Linked DNA regions of Oryzias latipes. The protein of the gene in region 2 binds, or shares a complex with, the protein of the main gene of each other region. Links are inferred from orthologs where the notes say so. Each region holds a gene or a part of one and is shown on either strand. Other genes may lie near its edges.

Evidence for each region. The genes of interacting proteins can lie anywhere in the genome.
Region 1: washc5 (region 2) and washc3 share a complex: the UniProt entries of both Homo sapiens proteins name them as parts of the WASH core complex. The link is inferred for Oryzias latipes from reciprocal best matches to the Homo sapiens genes WASHC5 and WASHC3.

The regions. Positions count from the first base shown.
Region 1 is NC_019881.2:17,524,904-17,528,207, forward strand, and holds the end of washc3 (WASH complex subunit 3), read left to right. Parts: intron 1-219; coding exon 220-333; intron 334-432; coding exon 433-497; intron 498-595; coding exon 596-695; 3' UTR 696-2,497; downstream 2,498-3,304. UniProt on the Homo sapiens protein: Acts as a component of the WASH core complex that functions as a nucleation-promoting factor (NPF) at the surface of endosomes, where it recruits and activates the Arp2/3 complex to induce actin polymerization, playing a key role in the fission of tubules that serve as transport intermediates during endosome sorting.
Region 2 is NC_019874.2:13,947,098-13,950,129, reverse strand, and holds the end of washc5 (WASH complex subunit 5), read right to left. Parts: coding exon 2,929-3,032; intron 2,812-2,928; coding exon 2,649-2,811; intron 2,541-2,648; coding exon 2,438-2,540; intron 2,352-2,437; coding exon 2,272-2,351; intron 2,192-2,271; coding exon 2,088-2,191; intron 1,868-2,087; coding exon 1,738-1,867; intron 1,648-1,737; coding exon 1,551-1,647; intron 1,444-1,550; coding exon 1,290-1,443; intron 1,214-1,289; coding exon 1,126-1,213; intron 982-1,125; coding exon 925-981; 3' UTR 501-924; downstream 1-500. Other genes in the region: nsmce2 (E3 SUMO-protein ligase NSE2), read right to left, coding at 34-148. UniProt on the Homo sapiens protein: Acts as a component of the WASH core complex that functions as a nucleation-promoting factor (NPF) at the surface of endosomes, where it recruits and activates the Arp2/3 complex to induce actin polymerization, playing a key role in the fission of tubules that serve as transport intermediates during endosome sorting.

The DNA.
Region 1 (3,304 bases), on a different chromosome or scaffold from region 2:
ATTTCTCTTTTGTAGTTTTGAAATTTCCAATCTTGCTTTATTTACACAACAAATAAGGAACCAGTTAGTAATATAGACTGAATAGCAGGGATCTGGTTGCCTGTGTGCGTTACAGAAACATTCTGAGCATCTGTTTAGTGTACAGATATTATTTTCGCCATATTCATCAGGATTATAGTTTCCTTTAAAGCTGCTTTTCAACGTTTCTTCATGCTTCAGCCTCAGGAGGCACGACAAGAAGCTCCTGAGCAAAAAGCAGCAGCCGTTGCAGAGAATGTCCTCACAGTGGCCAAAGACCCACGATATGCCCGCTACCTGAAAATGGTTCAAGTGGTAAGTTATTATCTGATGTAAATGTTTAACAAAAGTCATATTTTGTTCAGTAATTTAATGTATTATTTTATGTAATGTATTTTTTTATTATTATTCAAGGGTGTTCCAGTGATGGCCATCAGGAACAAAATGATCCTGGAGGGTTTGGACCCCAGCCTACTCGAGTGAGTTTACATGGTTTGGTGAATAGCAGCGCTCCTATTTTTTTATCTTTATTCCACTAATAATGACAAAAATGTGTCCTCTTGTCTTTTGATAATAGCACGCCGGATGCCCCTGTGCCCGACGGAGCAGGAGCCAACACAGAGAACGAAGGGGCTGCTGCCTCCAGTTCTGACAGTGAATCTTCCTTCAGTGACTGAAACCTCTTTTTTTATTCTGCAAAACGTCCTGTAAGGTTCAAAATGCAAGTCTGCCTATAAAGAAACACATTGCAAAGAATCCAATCAAGTTTGTTAGGTGATTGTTTATATCCATCTGAATGAGCTGCAGCATTTTGATCAATGTTTAAAATGATTTGAAAAATATGTATATATATTTTGTCTATTCAAGAAAGCAGAAAGAGGAAGCTTTTTGAATGAGTTGGAGCACTAACACCACCTGCCTCACATTGTGTGGATGCCCACTTGTTCTAATAATAGCAGGGGGTCCCTCGTATTCTGTAGGTTGGGGCTGTGTAGCATCAGAAATCTGTTTTCCCAACTGTTCCTGAATGTATATTTTTTAGCTATATATTTCAGAGCTATGAGCGGAACTTTGCATCCTAACTGATTCAGTCTATAAAAAAGGTAGAATTGTCATTTATAGCTAAGAAATGAATACATTTGAGTCAATCTTTCATAGCATTATGTCCGTAACAGTTTTCTGCTTTTATATATGCGAAAACAGATATGTAGGCAGTTTTTACCACGTCATAATCATATACGTTGTGATATTGAAAAATTGCACTTTTTTTGTTTGTTTTGTTCATCATTTGACAATTTATTATTTTAAATGCTATTATTTTTGGTTCTGTATATAGGTAGAGGGGAAGCCAATCTTCCTTTAGGAGCCAATATCTTAAAGCCCCACTCCAATCCTCTTTTGATCTAATTTCACAGTGTTTTTATTTTATTTTATCTTTTTACTCTAATTATGTAGTTTTTAGCCAAAATCAAAAAAAAACCTGTCGTTTTCTAGGACATAGTTCCTGCAGAGCGGCAGGAGAAAATTGCCTCTTAGTTGTGAGGGTTGAATCAACCTTGCCCCCTCCCCATTGCCGCGACCTTTCTGTTTACACCAGGAATGGGGTCCTCCACATCATAAGAGAAAGAAGTGACATGGGATTAACATATATATTTTAAAGCTGAAAATCTTTGAATTTTTATTTCAAAGCTGTGACTTTTTTTTTTCTCATTTTAGAGCCAATTGCACTGATTGCACTTTCCTCAGGGGAAAACGCAGACTTAGAGAAATGCTGCATTCATGCAGAGTTGGAATGATGTGAAAAGTGACTGTCCAACTCTGAAAACAATCATAAATGATCAGAAATCAGAAAAACAACAACAAAATCTTCCTACACCACATGAATGTTCAGTAACTATCTGCACCCAGACAAAGATCGTAGGGAGCTTGCGGTCCGTCCAGCGTATAATGCAACTTTTTTCAAACAACATTTTTTAATTTACTCTTGATTGACAATGATTTAACAAAAAATACTCAGAAATTTTCTTTTATACATTCCATCCATCATCAGAAAAATGGCACAAGAGCATGTCAAAAACAATTTTTATTGGAGTGCGTCTTTAAACCCTTGGTATTCCTAATCAATTTGGAATTAAAGACAAAAAGTTCATTTCAAGCCCATCCTGAATGTTGAATGATGAAAAAAACAACACAATTAATGTTTCATCCTCCTACTTTTTCCCCTCACAAAAGCTGCTGATGTCTGGATTAAGGAAACTTGCACTAAATTATCACAAACTGTCAAAATAAGTTTGTTAAACTGCATTAGGCTCGCTCATACTCTGATTATATTGATCAGAACTTGTTAACAGATGTGTAGAAATGTGCCAAGAATGCTGTTAGGCTCAAAGAAAATTGTGTAATTGTTCAGAAAAGACTTTATAAAAGAAAAAGACTGTTGAATGTGTAACTTTCTCTGAATAAAGATGCATACAGTGTTTTCAAAATCTTTTTTTTAATTGGATTTAGTTTGCAGTACATCATATTTTAAGTACCAGTATAAAAACATTTCTTTATTCATGATAAAAAAATCAACTTAAGACAAACTGAAATACAGAAGCAGTTTACAAAAAATACATTTTTTTTCAATACATATTTGGTGATTTAGCAGTAAAATGAGCAGAAACGATAACAAAAAAGTAGTTTGAAAAGCTGTCATTCTGGAGGCGGCTACAGACCTTTTGTTTAAACGAACGATACAACATTGCAAGTATTTTGAATAAAATGTGGCAAGACCTAAGGAGAGCTGTGATAAGATAAGCAGCTAAAAAATCTCCACAGGTAAGCCGTGCAAAAAACAAATAAAAAAAAAACACTTTGTGTTGCATAAATGTAGCTTCTAAAGCCATCTAATCCAGCAAGTACTCCATTTTAAAAAAAACGATTTAATTTTTTCCTTGTTCTTGATATGATGTACCAGAAAGAGTGAACAAAAATGATACTAAAACACTGTAATTCTGTTAAAATACAAGTTTACTCTGCTCTTTATGGCAATTGACAGTACATTCATTATTCCTCTATTTGAAGAGTGTTTGCAGTGTAGCACCTGGTTTATAAAAGAGGAAGTAGCTGAGGAGAAAGTCAGAAAACTGCAGGACGGATTTATTTCACCATTTATCAGCTGTGCAGCACCTTTCTGACAAGGTATTGTTGTGGTCCAACAGCTGCAAAACGAATTTTCAGGACATGATTCGTTAATATTTACTGATCAGAACAGTCAAGGCGATTAGTTTTTAAAAGGTTATAC
Region 2 (3,032 bases):
TTGCAGAAAATGATGCAGGCTCCGAATGTTTACCCTGAGATTCCACCACATCTATGGCAACGTCCGTCACGATGTCCATCCCCGTCGCAATGTCTGCCAAACACGATTTTAAATTGGACAATGCGCCGTTGACAGCACTCAGAGACATTGTGTTCGTAACTTTTATCCCTAAAGTCCAAAGAAAAATCACTGTGTGTTCACCGTTATTGATATCTTCCTTATGTTAACGGCTAGCTAGCTAACTGCTAGCCTTATACTCGCGCCGTCTTGCGAAAAGATGAGATATGCCAATGTATCTCAAAATAGAAAAAAAAACAAAAAAGATAAGTAACTATTCTTAATTCAAAGTACAACCAAAGATCAAACGATAACAAAAAAATAAGAAGGAAAAGGAAGAAAAGTAGTAAACATTTGAGATGAACGGAAGTTACAGTTTCACTTCCGTTTGTTTCTTCAAACTAAAAGCCATCAAATAAATTCATAAAGAAAACAACGAGCAGTAAAGAATTATACTGTATTTATTGATAAACAATACCACAAAATATTAGTATGGAAATGTTTTTGATTGAGCATTAAATGTACAGTTTATTAATACAAAACTTTATTGTTCTAGAAAATGAAATATGAACTACTTCTTGAAGCTTTTTTACATTTGACATTGTGGCCTTTTCTGGTTGAAATAAAAATGTATTTTTAACAAAACACATTTTGTTATAACATTGCAGAAACAGATTATAAGGCTGGGCATGAAATGTATATGGGGGGAAAAAAAGCACATCCTAATTTCTGAACAATTAATTAGAGCAAAATGATTGTTGCTTCTACCACAAAAATCTTTGCCACTAGATCAAGACTAATATAAACAAAGAAAAGTACAGTACAAACAAAGACTGCATCTTCAGTTTGATGTCCTTGTCCGGGGGCTCACAAAATAGTTCTGAATTCGTCAAAAATGAAACTGGGTACATGAGCTTCAACCACCTTAAAACAGATAGATAATAAAAAGAAATGCATGTTAACAATCCTTCAAGTTTGTAAAAACAAGCTGTCTTAGCATGACATAGCAATTCTTTTTCTTCCAGATACCTTTAAAATAAACCACCTCTAAAGTAACTGTTTTCTTACCTTGCGTGACAGTTTTGTGTATTTTACATAGTCTTCAAGGAACATCAGGGCCCCCACAACATCAGAGGGCATTTCAGGGATTTTCTGGCTGTGACACCAGTAAAAGACAAATTTAAGAAAACTGCAAACAATGGGTTTGATCAAAATGTTAAACTTTTAGTTACCTTGTGCACTGCTCCATAACAGAGCGGATGAACTGTCCAAGCAGAGCAAGGAAGTGCTGTGTGTATCTGGAGTGGAACTGCTTGAGCAGGGTGAGCAGACCCAGCACTAGTGGGGGCCAGTCGACAGGATCGGTTGCTTTCTTGCAGGTCATTCCTTTTACACAGAGAAAATCCTTAACTTGGCGTGTACACAGAAAAAGTCACCACAGAAATTCACAGATTCCAATCCATCAAGCTAAGATAGCGAGAAGTGAAACGCACCTTGATTTTTGTTGTACTGAAGTTTAGGCAGCTGAGCAATGATAAACAGGAGGTTGATGATGGGGAAGTAAGGAAGACGCTTTGTGGTGATGTAAATCTGTTTGAACCAAAAAGAAATAAACATTGTTTACTGGTGAAATGTGGCATTTTTAACAGGCTAATTAAAATAAAATAAAACCTTGCAAACCTTGCTGAGCGGGTTATGAATTCCAGCAGCTTCTAGGTAGGCAGTGATCTCATACAATAGAGTGTTTTCTTCTTTAGGATAAGGGAGAGATGGATCCTGGTAGTGTGCTTCTATGTCTGCCAGAAGAGACCTAACAAGAAGAAGAGATCACAACAGGTGGCAAAATGTAGCCTTAAGCTCACAAAAACACAATATGCTATAGTAACAAATGTTATCAGTTGTTAGAAATGAATGTATTCTAAAAAAAAAAAAAAGTGAGAAACACCTCGTGAACTACATCTCTAGGTACATATTTTCCATACAAAACTGCATAAAAAGAGCCTGAATTTGGCAGAAAACACAACACTTACTTGTTGAGGTTTTCCAGGGCAGCTGCCAGGTGTTTGGAGTCAAACTTGCAGGAGAAGTTAAGCTCATTGGCAATCTGCTGTCTGAGAATCTGCATCTGACCGACCTACAACAAAGGGATGGAACATCATTTTCATGACGTGAGCAGATATATCGAAAAATAAAATCATAAATGTTTTGATTTACCTTCATGATGGCCTCCAGGTATGGACCCCAGATCTTCTGGGATTTGGCCACAGCACTCGTGTACGCTTTGCTGGCATTGGCTATATAGCCAAAATACACAATCAAATGATTAATACCAATACATGACTTTGGCTATACATTTTCATGAATGAGAACAAGAATTTACCGACGATGCCTTGGACTGGGTTGACTGCAGCCAGCACAGTTTTGAAGACTTCCACCAAGGCTTTGTCCTTCAGGATGCTCTTCTGAAGCATTGTCAGGAAGTTCTAGTGACACAAACAACGATTTGAAAAGAATTTTACAAAATAAAGTTCAACTTCCTCAATATTTTTCAATTCAGGGTGTTGTTTTATTCCACGGGAAGTAAAATCAACCTGAAGTTCTCTGACAATCATGAAGCACAGAAGTCGATCCAGTCCGTTGAGTCCAAATGTACCCAGAGTGTTCTGGATCTCAGAAAACAGCCTTTTGTTCGTCACCTCCTGGTGACTCTTCAAGTCGTACCAGGTGTTCAGCTGGTCGATGTAGCAGGTAACCCTGTGGAGAAAACCTGTTCATCTAGTTGCCTTTGGAGATGGCAAAAAGCTCATTTATCCACCTTCCACCACCTATTCCCTTGAGGCTACTCTATAGGGTTTCTCTGAGCGGACATACTTTGGATCTGTGATTCGCAAGATCTCTCTGCACAGACGGCCGATGAAAGTGGCAGATTCATCCACAGAGGGAAACTTAGGAATGGGGATGTGGGTGGATTGGTG